Drosophila melanogaster: one gene and its partner. The protein of the gene in region 2 purifies or fractionates together with the protein of the main gene of each other region. This does not show direct contact. Each region holds a gene or a part of one and is shown on either strand. Other genes may lie near its edges. The genes, in order: tho2 and tex.

Region 1 (8,664 bases), on a different chromosome or scaffold from region 2:
CGTTCGTTATTGGATGCCGTTGAAGTGGCTGTGGACACCAAAGTGACATTATTGCCCTCGCCTCTTTGGCTCTTCGATTCACGCGTTGTGGAGGCTAAAACATATTTAAGATTTGATGATTTAAGATTTAAGATTTACATTCATTTAATATTTCAACTCACCTGCTTTTGCATCTGGTTCTTTGATCACCGACTTTTGTTCGCTGTTGTAGAAAGGAGCAGCTCCGCCTGGAGCCCTTGTTCCTTGTGTATTCCCAGATGGAGAGGTGGGTGACAACTTATCGGATCTGGTGGCTGCGGCGGGAGCGCCAACACTGGTCGGCGACTCCTTATTCGGCCGCTCGGCGATTTGATGAAAGACACTCTCCTTTAGCATGTGGGGAGTCTTCAGCTTTAGTTGTCCAATGTAGCTGGAGGCAATGGCATACAGATCCGGTCGCTTTGTCTTCTCCTCCTCGCGCACCTTGTCCACCTTACGCTCGATGATTTGCGCCAGTTTGGAAAGAACTGGATAGTGAGGCAGTATTCGCATTAGGATGATCAGTGCGTTTCTGATCTGCATAAAGTCCTTCGAGTCCAGACAGAATACAATCGCCTTGGTAATCTTGTAGTGCCACTTGTGACACACATGCCGATAGTTTTCGTAGCCAACATGATCGTTGGCCTCTGAGAACTGATTGCTAACACGAAACTTTGTCACAAAACCAGGATAATTGGCGCACTCCTTATTAAACACCGCCTGATCCGCATGCCAACGCATCACGGTCTCGAGCATGGCGCACAAAAAGCGTCCGTACCGCGTAGCCTCGCCCTCAGTGCACGATGTTACCGAATAAGTGATGTCACAAAAGATCTGAGGACAAGAAGAAGGAGTAAGATCGAGTTTAAGTAAATGTATTTAGTCTTATTACCCTATCATAGCACAGCAAGGTTGAGAAGTTCGATGTCTTGAGATTGTGGATGGTGTGCACGAACTTCGCGCAATACAACGCATCCAGAGCTGTGAAGGTGCAACGCGGGAAGAGACAGAGCTGCAGGAATTGCGTGATGGTGTCGTTCTTTGCGGACTTGCCAGATCGTAGAAGGAACCAACTATCTTTTTGCTCCTGCAAACGCTGCGAGATCTTGTCAACGTGCTCATGCTGCTTCTTTCGCTCGTCGTTCAGCTTCTCCATTAGCGCAATGTAGCGCTCCTGCTCCTTCTTGTTCTTAGATTGGTTAGAGTCTTTGCCTTCTGCCGCTTGCTGGGCCAGCTGCTTTAGCTTGGCAACCTCCCTCTGATAGCTTTCGTTCGGCACGTGCAGATCGTACATGCTCAGACTCCAAAAAGTTACCAGGAACTGCGGACTAATGTCCTCCCACACCTTGGAGCTGTGCAGTGGACGAACAGACTCTACAATAGGGTTCATGATCAGCTGCGTAGCTTCCAAATACTTCTGGAGCTTTTGCGTCGTGGTGAGCTTCTTGGCGTTAGGGTCATCCTTGCGCAATTGATCATATTTTTGCTGTAAGAGGGATTCGGTTAACCTTTTTGTAATATTTTGCAGAATGGTTTGCTCGAACTTACATTGATCTGATGAGTAAACATGGGCCTAGCCAAGAAGAAGGCCACATCCGTGTTTATGTGGTACTCTCGAAGCATGGTTATAATCGAGGGCAACCGCTCCACATACTCATCCACAGAATAGGTGGAGCCTAGGAACGTACCAAACTGGACGAGTGTGTCTTGGCACTGATCATACAGATTTCCCACTAACTTCAAATGGCTGTGTGCCGCCGTCTCACGATAAATGACGCAGTGTTTCTGTTGAGCCATCAAAAGGCAAATAGCCACGGCAAGATCGTTATTGGCCAATGCCTCCTTTAGGCGATTAGAGGACTTTTTCGTATTCCTCACTTGACTAAAGTAGCCAGCCTATAGCGACAAATACACTCAATTAACAGAACAATATTGCAGTGACTTGGATAATTACCTCTCCCCTGAGCTGCTCACCACCACACATGGCTTGCAACTGATCATTAGTCATCTCCTCGCAGGACTCCACGCCTGCCATCTTATGCACGATCTCCCTCAGAATCAGTAAGTCCAGGCTCTTCTGCGACTTTAACTGATTGGCCACATACTGAAGCAGACCACTTAGCTCAATGCTGTACTTCTTGTATATGGTGCCGCAGAAGGAGGCAAGACTTTGCAGCCACAAGGATAACGAAGTGCCGTCATCCTTGAACCTGAGACGACCTGTTAACGTCAACGACTCGATGATGCAGTATCCCAAACAGTCAAAGGATAAGGCAGTAAGATACTTGAGCAGGTCGCAGACCGGACCAATTAGATTATCATAGATTTGAATTTGCAAGAGAATCTGTTGAAATAGTAATGGAAATGAATAAACTGTTTTGGAATAGTACCTAGATGAAACTCACATAGTCGAAAAGCAGTCCTGGCGCACAATGGCTATACTTTCCTACCAGTCGTCCCAGCTGCTTGACGTTCTCCTTGCTCACGCGCTTCATTAGGGCCTTAATATCCCGTTGTGCCAATCCACATCTCCTGATCAAATTGGGATGCAGCTGATAGCTGTCGTTCTTCCAACGCGCATACAAACTGTAGCGAAAATGATACGGGAAATATTTAAGCACAGCCCAGATCTCTTCGGACATGGAACAGTTGTTGTCCAAGTATAGAAGGGAGGGTAGAATGCAGGCGTCCAGCGAGCTCATAATGTCATAGTAGTGCTGCTCTGCTTCCGAATTCGGCGGAGGTCCATTTAGGCTGTCCACGCCCATATCGACAACTAGTTTCCGCATAATACGGATTAGTTTGTACATCAGCACAGTGTCGTAGTGCATGGCAGGTCCCAACACGTTAGCCATCGGCCAGGTGTACTTCCTTAAGTCGCCGAATTCCTTTGCCTGCATCTTGGCCACCAACTTGGAATCCTCATACAGGCGATTGCGGCTCGGCCTACGTCCTGCGGGAGCCTTAAAACACTTTTTGTAATAAATATTCTCCACGGACAGGTGAATCAGATCGGCAATGGCACGGGCAATGGGTTCCTGCAATACAACCGCCTGCTCGGGAAGCTTCTGGATGATCTTGTACGCATTCTCCCAGTCGCCAACTTTAAGCAAAGCTTCGCAGAGGCCAAATTTTTGGTTTGCATTGTATTTTTCCTGCGAATAAAACGATATCGTTAGTAGAATCCCTCAAAAAACGTTTATTAAATCTACCTCATTGAACTTCTTAACTGAAGGCGGCGGTGGTGGATCCTTTTCGTCTTCCTTCTTATTGGTTTGTATAAGGTTCAGCTTGCGGACCATTTCCCTGGCATCAGCCAGGTCTTCCTCCCAGTCCGCCTTAATGCTCCCATCGTTTGGAGTCAACCACACGTATACATCGTTCAGAGCAATGACGCCATGCTTAAGCAAAAGAGCACATACATGATATAACGAGCGGGGAGTGCGGGAGTCCTTAAAGTGGCAGAACTTGTAGCCGAGGACTTCGCAAATAATGGCACCAGTGGGCATGTAGCTGCGCAGCAGGGGTATGAACAAGTTCCATCGATCCGGACGAGTTTCAAAGGACTCGATAATAATGTCCAGCACACGATTAGGATCCAGATTGAAGCAGCCTGCAATTCAATTAACAATTAATGCAGTCGGTTTGACTGTGTTTCCTCATAGCTATCAAAACTATCTTACCTATAAGGGATTTTATGATATCCATTATGCTCTCTGGAGTGGTGTTCTCGTCGAACTCCTGGTTTAGCTCTGTGATAAGCTTGGCAAACCCTTCACTCTCCTCGCGGAAAAGGTTAAACCGACGCTGCTTGTAGCTTAAAGGGAAAGTAGAGATTATATATTTTATTAACCTCAAATCGCTTTTACTATATGTACGTACTATAGCTTGGTTTTGACCTTGATGAACTTAGAGTAAAAGCTCTTGTTCTTGACGATTCCCGCCTCCTGCAACGTATCGATTTCCAAACGTTCTTTCAAAAGACTTTCTGGAATCACCCTGTCCAAGTCTTTAACAAGTTGCACAAAGGCATGTCGTTCTTCCTGAAGTCCATCGGTTATAAGGGAGGTTTCGCTGTCCAGAATGTTAACCACGTCCACTATAAGGCTGGGAAAGTCCGCATGGAGGGCCTGCAACATAGGAAAACGTTATATATAGCGACAATTGTTAAGAAGTAAATGCCTTATAAATCTTTCTTTACAACAACAAATTCAACTCACCACGACTTCCAGGAGCAGGTGGAGTACTATGTCTTTTTTGTGAGTGAAGCGCAGAGTCTGCCAAAGAAGCTGGTATATGGCATTGGAGATGCCCTGCTTAAAGACGCCGTTCTTGTCGTAAACGGGCGTATCCGCCGCATCCTGCAACTGATGCTTGAGGTACTTCAGGCTAGAAGTAAACGTGTAATTTAGCTAGGGAACGAGGAACAGTCAGTCCAAACAGTCGATCCAGCAGCAAGACACAAACTGACGACAGCCACTGTACTGCGAGTGCGAGTGTTTGGGCGCGTGTGCATATATCTCTGGCTGCGTTTGCATCGGTGTCGGAGCGTGGTACCACACACGTACAATTCACTGCGTCCGGATTTGTCCAAGTGCTTGAAGACCTCCGGATTGAGTGTGCCTGGCTGATTGCCGCCGGCTCCGCTACTGGCGGCTGCTCCGTTCGTGTCCGACGATGCGGAGGTCCGATTATCCGCCGTCGCCGCCGCATCGCCGCCACCAACGCCATCCTGCGCTCCCGTAACGCTCTTCAGCTTTTTCAGCCGGCGCAACCGGTCTGTGGATCTCTGCATCCTCGGATCAGGTGGTACACGCGGGCGCTTTGCTGCGGGGGCTGAATTCTGCTCCCGAATCGATTAGATCGTTGTACTTGTCGAAATATTTGACAAATTTTCACACTTTTTTTTAGTTAGTTCCGCCAGTGTGACCGTACTGCTGCCTAACTAAATACCATTCGCCGAAACGAAAACGTCCGACTGCCAAATGCCAAGTTACTTTTTTTCTGGAACGTTAGACAAGGAACATAAACTAGCAAATAATCTTGAATTGTTATTATTTATATATATATAGATATATATTATTATATATAAATTATGCACCGGACGTCAATTTTCATTACAATTGAACTGAGATTGTTTTCGACCAAGTTGCCTCTTTTATTTGTTTTATTTATGGTTGACATTTCGTAGTGGAACATCGGGAAATGAAACCGAATCGATTTTAGGATTATCTCACCTTAAAATCATTGGACCTTTTTTAAATCGTATGCACATATTTATTACGTGTCTATTCGAAAACAGAATCTTAAATCAATTCAAATCCATTAAAATTCCTTCCAGATGACATCCCAATGATAAGCTAAACCTTAAAATTTAATCAGCATCAGCTGTTATTTTGTTTGTATATTCCATTTCGTGTAAATTGCTTTAAAACAGCCCGCGAATGGCATACCCGGAGTCAAAATGGTTAAATTATTGGACAATACAAATCAATATTTTACAAGCAATTCAGCGTGTGGATAATGGTCTTATGATAGGCATTTTGCCAAACAACTACTCATGTATGAGTAGGGTTTCATCTAAGACTTGTAACAATATGAAAGGAATACTCCTTAGAGAATTATTGGTGAATGTAAAATCGTAAAAATTTGGTATGAAGTCTTCATAGCAGAGGCTCATTCTCTATCTTGACATCGCACTCAACCATGGAGCTGTCGACATAGTCAAACGAAGTTGGTGTTTTTCGGCTACTGATTTGGTAGCTGGAATTGGATAGATGGTACTGGGATTTCTCCAGCTGAGTGGCAAAACTGGAATTCGGGGCTGGTGTTAGTTTGGGCATGCTGCGCTCTAGAACGTCTTCGGGTCCCGCCGCCGCGAGCATGTGCTGATCCTCCTCCCTGAGTTCCACCAGAACGCGCGCCATCTCCATTCGAAACTTAAGATTGCTAATGGCTGACAGAGACTTTACGTGCGGCATCATGCTCATCAAGAAACTCAAGTCCGAATCGTTCTTTAGATCGGGTTCAGTGGTAGACTTTGACGCCTGGCTGGCGTATCCATTCAATAAGGGGACATCGTTAGACGGCGAAGTTTTCCTCCGACGTCCTCTCTTCGAAGGCGGGGGTGGACGTGGCAGGAATTGTTGGTGGCGCGGCAAGTGTATGGGCAATGTGGGCGATAGATCCTGATCGGAACGATGGGCGCCCGAGGATGAAGAATCCAAAGGCTTGATCAGCGAGCCTTTATCCGAGCCAGAGTCCTGGGGCACTGACGGCTCCCGCTTAAATATGTCCTCGATGATTTCAAAGTCAACAGAGTCATCATTGTCCAAATCCAAATCGATAGCGAAGTCAACCAGTCGGGTGGGCTCGAAGACTTCCGGCTGCTCGGTGTTCATCACGAAGGGCTCTGGTGGAAAGGGCACCAGGCCCTCCGGATCGAAGATTTGGCGCATGAACTCCAGTGAGCGAAAGTATGGCCAGTGGGACATCTCGATTCGTTTCTGCTGTATCTTGCGCACCTCTGCCCGGTAGCTGTCCCGCATTCCCTTGAAACGTTTCTTGCAGATCGAGACTGCAAAATGACCAGGTGTTATTTATAGGTTTCCTAGGCATATAAAACCCTCCTCGTTTATCCGCCACTCACCATCCTGCTGCATTATCTGCGCGACACTCGCCCACTGGAGAGCTGCGTCCTGGTTGCGGTACGAAATGGACATGTTTGTGTCCCACAGGCACCGCCGCTTGGACACCTCCTGTATGAGACGGTAGTTATCTGATTTCATGGCGCAGTGGACCAGAAATTGCGGTTTGTCCACAAATGCAATGCTCCGAAACTTGCGGATCCCGAATTTTCAACGCAATTTTCACAGCAATGACCGCGCTCACAGCAAACTCGACGAATGTGTGAGCGGTTTCGACCCGACGGTAACACTTTTAATATCCCAAATTCGGGCTTGCTTTGCTGCGTTTTGGTGGAATATACAAAATCTTGCTCTTGCTAAATCTCGCAGTTTCGCTTGCCACTACAAATAAATGATTAATTGCGCCTGGCAGCTCTGGTCGAACAGCTGCTTAACGGTATTACCAGGTGCATGCAAAACGGCCACACCAAAGGCACTATGACACTAGATGAACTTATTTAGTAGGATTTATTACAAACGTTTAAAGAGCACAATGTACAATAACTGCATTTGATTCCAAAAAAAAATGTTAGTTTAAAGATAAAGAATTAGATAAAGACCCTTTTGGTCGAAAAACAGTAAGAAAGAGACGAGTCAGTTCGTGGTGTCATACCAGCATACTTTCATTGGGGTTGCAACCCTGGCAGTAAAACAAATGATTCACAAACGAATTGATTTTGTTGCCGGCTGTGGGTTTAAAACTCGATAAAATCGTCAAGCAGCCATGTCGAATTCTGTGGAAGAGTGCAAGGATGAGGACCTGCCGGCAAACACGCTGGAGCACTTCACCGAACTGCAGCAGGTGCTGGAGATGATCGACAACATCAAATCCATTGCCGCTAACACCTTCGAAAGGGAGTTCGAGCAGTACGCCCAGGTTTTGTCTAGATATCAGGAGCAGCCACACCTCTTGGATCCACATTTGGAGGAGTTACTCGGCAAACTGCTCCACAAGATTCGGAAGCCAGATCTAGACACTGGAGAGCTTCATGCAGCCTTCAAGTATCTCTACATCATCTGCAAAGTGCGCACCTATAAGGTCCTGGTAAAGTTTATGCCACACGAACTGAGCGATCTGGAGTTTGTTCTGGATTTGCTGGGTCAGCAAAATCCCAAGGAGTTCGAACAGTGGGAAACGCGCTATATACTGCTCCTGTGGATGTCTATCCTGGTCCTAAATCCCTTTCACATGTCGAGACTAGATGCCTATGACACCTCCACATCTGCTCCCACCACCAATTGCAGTCCCGTGAACCATGTTCAGTCGAAGAACACCAAGATGGATCGCATCTTCGAGCTCATCCAGCTTTATGTGTCCTCCAACGACACATGCAGCAGCATGGCTGCTTTCCTGGCCGCCAAGTATTTCATTCGCAGTGACATCAAGGATCTATATCTGGAGCGCTTCCTGGACTGGATTATGGAGCAGCACCAAGCGGACACGTTGAACGTCAAGTTCGGCCAACTGGCTGCAGTGGCTGCTATTTTAAAGCACGGAAAGCGAGAAGATCTTCTGCCCTATGCGGACAAACTTCTTCAGTGGATCACTTCCTGTCAGTACAAGGATGACAACGACTTTCTCAAGTACAAGAACTATGTAAAAATCATCCAGAGAATTGGATTGGTTCATTTGAAGCCACGCATTGCCAGCTGGCGGTATAAAAGAGGTAAGCCTGGGGTTTGTTATTCACGCATGAAACCATAATAAACTAGTGTTTTCTTAGGCACTCGTTCACTGGCCACCAATCTAAACCAGACAACTGCGGCAGGAGGTGAACCAGTTGTTTTGGAGCAATCCCTGGAGGAAGGCGAGGAAATAGTGGTCCCCGATGCCATAGAAGAGGTGATTGAGGAGCTGCTCCAGGCACTGCGAAGCGGAGGAAACGATATACGCTGGAGCGCCGCCAAAGGATTAGGCAGAGTCACCAATCGCCTTCCCAAGGAGCTGGCCGATGAGGTT
Region 2 (7,320 bases):
CCTCTGTACTTGCTAATTCAAGTCGACAATCCCCAAAATGTACACGTTATAGTAATTATTCTCTGTTAATCTCTCTCGCTGACTCTATAAATAAAGGAGTATGGCCATTTCGCCTACTTCTCCCACTCGCGGAACTCGGTTCCATTTGGAGGCTTCACGGTGACTCTTTCTTTGCCCACCTCATTCCAGTTGGTGCTGAGCACGGTGCCTCCGGACTCCGAGAAGGACTTGTTCATGGCCTTTTGGACCTCGGGCGAGGATGAGCTGTAGATTTTCTTGAACAGGTTGGTGAGGGCCGCCTCGCCCTTGGCCTCCTTCTCGTCGATCTTTTCCTCCTCGCTGACCAGCTGGTCCCAGTTCTTGGCCTTGGGTTTCACCGGTGCAGCCACGATGGCCTCCTCCAGATTCTCCCACCGAATTCCCGTCTCCTTAGCCAGTGTGATTTCCACTTTGGTCGAAAAGGCCTTGTAGGAGGAACGCTCCACAACAATGGGATGAAGCAGCTTCAGGTCCAACTCGTAGCCATCCGCCGTCATGTGGACTCGCTTCTGGGTAATCTCCACAGCATAGTTCTTATCGACGGCGTTCTTCAGGAGCACGGTGATGACCACCTTGGTCTCCGACTGGTACCAGTCGTGGCGCACGGACATCTTGCTGCTTCAGCTGGTACTGGAAATTGGGAATTGTTGAGGATTCCCCTATAATTGCTTTCGCCCACTAAACGGGGTTAATTTTATTATTATCTGGAATTATCTAGAATTCAATACAAATGAATGTGACTAAAGGCAGTGCTACCAGATATAAAATGATTATCGACAATCGATTTTTTGTAGCTTAAGTGGCAGCGCCTATTAAGTTTCAACATTCAAACGTCGATATCGATAAGTATCGACGAACCGGTTCAGAAATCAGGGCTGTGAGCGTGGAATAAGGTGTAGCAACGACTCTAACCTTAATGGAACTGTTGGTGCGGCAAGTAATTTCCAGCACTGCAAAAACTTAAATTAAGGCGCCAATTTCCCTTTTACAAATTTGATTTTTTTGTTTGAACTTTTCATCACGATTGAAATAATTTCAACAGACTAGAAAGTTGTCAAAGACAAAAAAAAGGTTACAAGTTCTTTTTTGCAAGGATACAAATCCACGGGAAATTATTTGAAATCTGCTCACACCAACTGCTCACTTCAACTGCAGCCAACTGAAAACAAAGTTCTAGCCAATTTACGGGCACTTTAATTTCGGTACTTCGCTTTGGGGAAAAAACAGCAGTCGAAAGCGCATAAGTCCCGACGACAGCAAACATAAATTCCAGTCGTCTGGATCCACCCCCCTAAAGAAATCCGCATAGTCAAAGTTTGTCCAAAGTGACAGCAGAATTGAAAAGTGTGCGAGGGGCTGGGCAAGTGGCCCAGAAACTATTTACTGCTCTAAGTTTTATGACTTGCACTCGACTTTTTTTGTATGCTTGCCTTTCCGATCAATTGACAATTATCTTGTGAGAATTGAAGAACAGCTGCTAAAATTCGGAAGACACGCCACTTTTGCATTTAAGTGTGGCAAACAAATTTATTCACAACATAATTTTTTCTCTTAACTTATAACTTTACTCTAACATTATAACTTCGCATATTTGCATCTATAAATAAAATAATAAATAAAACTAAAATATGAAATATGGAATATACAGTTACATTTACATTTCACGCGTGTTTTATGTGCAATTCCTGTACAGATTTGAGAAAATGTCGAGAATAACATTTTATTGCATTCATTACATTTCATTAACATTTGCATGCGAAGGGGAAAATTTAACAGAAGCGTTCTATTCCATATTATTATAGAAATGTTATATTTATCGCATGCGAGAAACCGAGCTATGTAAACTAACAGTCTGCATTCGCGCTTAACAGCTGTGCTGAATAGAGAGGGGTAAGCTGGCTGTTAAAATTTGACACGTGTACACGGTGTACATAAAACGACGTAAAAATAAAGTAGAAATGCTGTTTCGCTCTGATGAGAAAACCAATTGGAAAATATCTAGCCAAGTCAAATTGGAATTTAGTAACTAAAGATTATAAAGATTTATATGTACAGTAAATATAGGCAACGAAAGCAAATGAAAACTATGGCTATTTAAAGTACTCATCACTTGGCCAAAAACACTCTTTCACTGCTTCCACTTACGACAATTAACTGTAAATTATATTTTCCATCAAACGCAATCCGCTCCCCTCCCCCCGGCCAACGAACGCAAGCTGGCATCTCGAAACCGAAATTTATCGAAAACTTTTAGTAAAGCAAATATTGACGTGGTTTCGAGTGGTTGGATGGCTGCGCGGGTGGAGGGGATTGGAGTGCGCTGCACTTGGCGGGAAATGCACTTGGACGGCATACAAATGGCGATGCTGCGATGCGAGTGATGATACAAACGACGTGTTAGCTTGCTTGTTTGTTTGTCACTTGCGCCGCGTGCAGAAAGTAAGAGCCCACCCACTCCCACTCGCGCCAGCTCCACAAAACTTGACCTTATGGCTCTCCAGTTTAGCTGCCTAATATGGTCGTAGCGACCATGCACGCCAGCCAACATCTTTCCGGGATTGAGCCCTCGAAAAGCTGACACTGATTAATAGCTTAAGAAGCAGGAAGCCATTGCCGTAAAGCTAGCTACATGCATTGGGTCAGCATTCGCATCCGCCAGCGTCGTTATTTGCATGATAAAAGCAAAGTGCTTGCAACGTTCAGCTGCGCCGATTGAGCAGCTCCTGGAGCAGCAGGGCGCATCAGCTGGGTCCGGCAAAGCCATAAAAGCGAGCCAGAGATGATAAAACCGAAATGGCTGCCACGAACACGTCCGCCGGCGAAGCCCTGCAATTGATAACCTAGAATGCTCGCTCGGCTAGCAACGTGACCCAGTTAACACGAAAGTGCATCATCGACGGTCAGGTACGTCGATAAAGTCACACTCGAAAAGGTAATTGGAAAGCAAACAGGGTGGTCTTTACCATCAGATGCGCCTTAAACTAGGTTACTTTATTCCGAAAAGCCATATATCTTAACGTTGCCAGCGTCACGTCGCCGATCGTTGTCCTTCTCATCGCAGGCGTAGGCCAGCAGGTACTGCTTCGGATGCCAGGCCACCGTGAACGTGGAGGCGTCCACGTGAATGTCGGTTACCCGCTCGCCCGTCTCCGTGAAGGCAATGTCGATAATGAGGTCCTCGCTGGCCAAGGCAATCATTCGCTCGTCGTGGCTAAACGATATGGTGCGGACGGGCCACTCCAGGCGGCTGATCATGCGCAGGCAGGCCAGCTCGTTGGCATCCCACAAGGAGACTTGTGCGTCCGCCGAGCCAGTGGCAAAGTATTTACCTGGAAACGAAAGAGGCATATTTAGATATGATATGAGATTGCAATGGCTGCCTACCCGTGGGTCCGAACTCAATGCAAATGCAGTTGGCGGGATGGGCCTTCAGGGTCATCTGGTGCTCGAGACTGGGATAGCTGAGGATATGCATGCAGCCGAGTCCGTTGGTTAGGAAGAACAGGTCGTTGGTGTTGTTCCACGATATCTCGTTGACCTCGAAGCTGAACGGCTCCTCCACGCGAATCTTGTTCGTGCGTGTGTCTATAAAGGTGATCAGATCCTCCTTGTTGCCCACGGCGATCGTTTTGCCATCGGGCGACCAGGCAATGTTGATATTCTCCCCCTTGGTGTTCGTCACCGATACGCATTTTCCAACTCGTATGTCCCAGATGCGCACGGTCTTGTCTCCGCTTGCGGTGGCAAACTGGTCGGGATTGGTGCGATGCCAACACAGCTGGTCCACGGACGCAGTGTGTCCCCGGTATGTGTTGCCCTTCAAGAAGCGGTCCCGCTCCAGCGAGTAGACGACCACCGTCTTGTCGAAGCTTCCGGAGGCCAGGTAACGACCATCGGCATTCCAGCAGACCGAGTGAACCTGTGGGCAGGCGGGAATTCATTGGTTGCCCAATAAATGTGGCCATCGTGCTCACCTTAGACATGTGCGACCGCTGCTCGCGGATTTTGCTGTGACTCCGCAAATACGACTTCAGGTCTTCCAATGTCTGCTCCGTGCGACTCATTGTTAAATGTTTATTTATATTTCAACCGGCTTTTTCTTAAAAGATCTAAACAACAATGTGACTGTAGCCCACTAACCAAATTATACTAACTGCCCGATTTGCATTAGCAAGGACTCACACCAATATATCGATTCCTGGCTTAGCGGCTAATTCAAATATTCTTACAATCTCTGAGGTAACGTTTTCAAACGAGTTTCTGCCAACATTCAAGCTCATATCTTTTGTTGTTAATTACGCTATTGTTTGCGCTGCAAACATTTAAACAAGCAGAGAGAGAGAGAGAGAGAGAGAGAGAGAGAGAGTTTAATGTCAACAAAACTTTATTGTATCGCTGCAGCAAAACAAACATTAAATGAGGAAAACAAATAAATAAGAATTACAAGCCTAGATTGTGGCAGTGCACTATTGAAGTCTGTGGTTTCGCGGCGGCTCGCGCACATTCCGATCGCTCTTGTCGTGGATATGCACATTCTCCGCTAGCTCCACGTTGGCATGCAAGGCCGCGTCATTGGCATTCAAGTGCGCCTCCTGGGCGGACAAGGTAGCCTTCTCCGCCGCATCGCGCGTTTCCTCGTAGTCCAGTCGAGCTGCATAAGCCTGCGATTCGGCGTGCTCCAGCTTGGTCTTGGCCTGGGCCACCATATCAATTTGCGAAGCTAGCTCGGCCGCCGCCTCCGATGCTGCCTTTTGTGCCAACTCCGAGGCGGATTGGGCATTGTTAAGTGCGGCAGTTAGGACACTGACATGGTTGATGGCCTGCTGGGCGGCATATTGGGCTGCCTTGGCGGATCTCTTGGCCTGCTGCAGTTGGGTCAGCTCGTTCTCCATGGCCTTGTGGGCCTCCACGCTCTGATCCTCCAGCCGATGGAGCAGCACCTCTTTGCCCTTGAGCACGGCCACAGCTGTGCCGGCTGCTTGTGCTGCCGCCTGAGCCAGAGTACTTTTGGCCACATAGGATGCCTGTTTGCCTGCCGCATTTTGGCTGGCCACTGCGGACAGGGCCTGATCCGCTGAACCCTTCGCTATGCTGCGCAATCCATTGTCGGCCAGGTAGCCACCGCTTCCTCCTCCACCGCCTCCGCGGTGGGAGTGCACTATGTAATCGGAGGAGCCTTCGAAGTGGGAGAGCTTCACCTTGGCCGGTTCGAATTCGTCGTGGTTAATCGCCTCGTAGGTGTATGGCGGCACCTCGTGCTCGATCACCGCCGTTTGCTGGGGCACTGGACCCGGTCCATGGGGCGATGGCGGCGGTGGTGGCGGCGGCACATTGACGTGATGGTGATAGTGTGGCTCCTTCCGTTTGATCTTGCGACCCTGCGTCGGCATGGCCACTAAATCAAAGTCCCAATTTAGCCACATTTGCATGAGGAAGTCATGTGCGACTCACCCAAAAACAGCGCCAGGAGCAGCAGGTGCAGCAGCGATGGCATCTCTGGCGATTATGCAATGGAGCAGCTGGCGAAAGGAAGTCGCACAACCGGAAGACTCGTGATCACCGCAGGCGCAAGCTTTTGGGTTCCTCTGTCGCACGCCGAGTGCTGAAAGAAAACAAATTTCCGTTTTTAATTGGGGAAAAGTTTCTTCATTGTTTTTCACGTATGTATATGCTTTTCAGTTTAGTTAGCTAGTTAGTTGTTGATTGCATCTCACTAAAATAAACTTGTTACGAAATGTACCACTTCATTCTGCATTAAAAATATCTTCACATCTGAAGGACACCTTTTGCGAGTGCATAATCATTGGGCAACCGGTTACATAGCCGCTTTGCCTATTAGCTAATATTTTATGGTGCGGCACTTTCTTTGCTCTAGGATGGCCGGTAAGTCGTTAGTGGGTCACGGAATGATATGTTCCACGAGAGAACCTGTTTAGTTTGAAGCGCAGCCAAACTGGACACTGCACACAAGGCACACACCAATCACTCAGTTTTGACACCAACGCACCTCTCGATCTCGATCTCGACTTGGACTTGGACTTGACCGACACGAACGTCCTGTGCGGACCAGAGATAAAATGCTTATGACTCGAGTGGAGGATCGCCCGCCAAGCGGAGTCAATGTGGATGGACGAGTTCGGTGAAAAACGCTTTTACTTTCGCACTAGATGAAGCTAGGAGCGCGCAACAGGTAGAGCTGGAGGCTGGTGGCTGGGGGAGCGGCAAGTGGGCGCAGTAAATCCGGTGGAGACTCAACGACGATTGCCAGTTGGCCACCAGAGGCGCCATGTATTTATAAACGAACTGGTCGGGTCGCCGAAAGAAAGTGCAAACCCGTTGGCTGTTGGTTTTCCTCGCGAGCTGGCCATGCACCATCATCCAACAACGATGGTGCTGGGTCAATGCTACCAGGCGGCTGCTCGATTGGATAATTTGTAGCCGCAATTATGGCAGAGCGTCTAATTGCCATGAGACGCTTTAAATGCCCGCTCCGGGAGAGATTGCATATGACGAAAGACCGATGAAGTCCGATGATTGTTCGCTTCCTCGCAGATCCGCGTGTGAACACGGAGGAGTGTTCGGAAGCTTAGCGAGGTGTGTTGAGTATACGCCCCGTAATCCCCAATTGCATCATGATAAACTTGATGTCACAATTTGTAGTTTATAATTGTGATCTCACCTACGAACTATTGAATTTAATAAAACTGAATTATATTCTCCCTTTTGAAAATGCAAAGTAAAATAAAATATAAGATATACAAGTTATTGGCTTCAGTTGGTGCGCCCCCTCTTCAGCCAGAGTAAGTGCCTCAGTTCCGCCCTCCTGCGCTCCCTGGTGGCCCTATGCCTGGCCTCCTGGGCAGCACAGGCTGCCTTCTCGGCGGCGTTTTTGGTATTCTTGAAATCCACACGGGCCACCTCCAGCTGGCGGAGCAATAGCTCCACCCGCTTCTTGGCCGCTTCCACAAGCTGTTGCTTCTCGCCCAGCTCCTGCTGAGCGCCACTGGCCACGTGCTCCGAGTTGACCACATTATCCTGCGCATTCTTCACCGCCAGCGTAATGGTGTTCAGCTGATCTGCCGCCTGTTTGGCCGCTTGCCCGGCCGCAGCATAAGTAGTTTGGGTGGTCTGTAACAAGGTGCTCTCCTCCTGGACCACTAGCTCCCCCTCGCGCACCTCGGACTCCAGTTGCTCGACAATCTGTTGCTTGCCGGCCAGAGCAGCTTCTGCCGCCTTGGCTGCGGCCAGCGCTTTGTCGGCCAGTTGCTGCTTCACCTGGCG

Evidence for each region.
Region 1: the proteins of tex (region 2) and tho2 purify together in Drosophila melanogaster (affinity purification with western blotting; one study listed by BioGRID). This does not show direct contact.

Annotation. Positions count from the first base shown.
Region 1 is NT_033779.5:2,140,219-2,148,882, forward strand, and holds the start of tho2 (tho2), read right to left. Parts: upstream 4,970-8,664; 5' UTR 4,814-4,969; coding exon 4,587-4,813; intron 4,408-4,586; coding exon 4,239-4,407; intron 4,149-4,238; coding exon 3,901-4,148; intron 3,836-3,900; coding exon 3,702-3,835; intron 3,632-3,701; coding exon 3,231-3,631; intron 3,174-3,230; coding exon 2,424-3,173; intron 2,363-2,423; coding exon 1,973-2,362; intron 1,915-1,972; coding exon 1,567-1,914; intron 1,505-1,566; coding exon 911-1,504; intron 853-910; coding exon 162-852; intron 95-161; coding exon 1-94. Other genes in the region: CG11723 (uncharacterized protein), read right to left, coding at 5,682-6,595, 6,668-6,806; Tbcd (Tubulin-binding cofactor D), read left to right, coding at 7,429-8,371, 8,429-8,664.
Region 2 is NT_033777.3:8,304,473-8,311,792, forward strand, and holds tex (tex), read right to left. Parts: upstream 4,174-7,320; 5' UTR 4,104-4,173; coding exon 4,014-4,103; exon of another isoform or gene 3,959-4,013; coding exon 3,424-3,958; intron 3,369-3,423; coding exon 3,031-3,368; 3' UTR 3,001-3,030; downstream 1-3,000. Other genes in the region: Sgt1 (suppressor-of-G2-allele-of-skp1), read right to left, coding at 114-650; CG11693 (uncharacterized protein), read right to left, coding at 4,506-5,434, 5,491-5,533; CG11694 (uncharacterized protein), read right to left, coding at 6,811-7,320.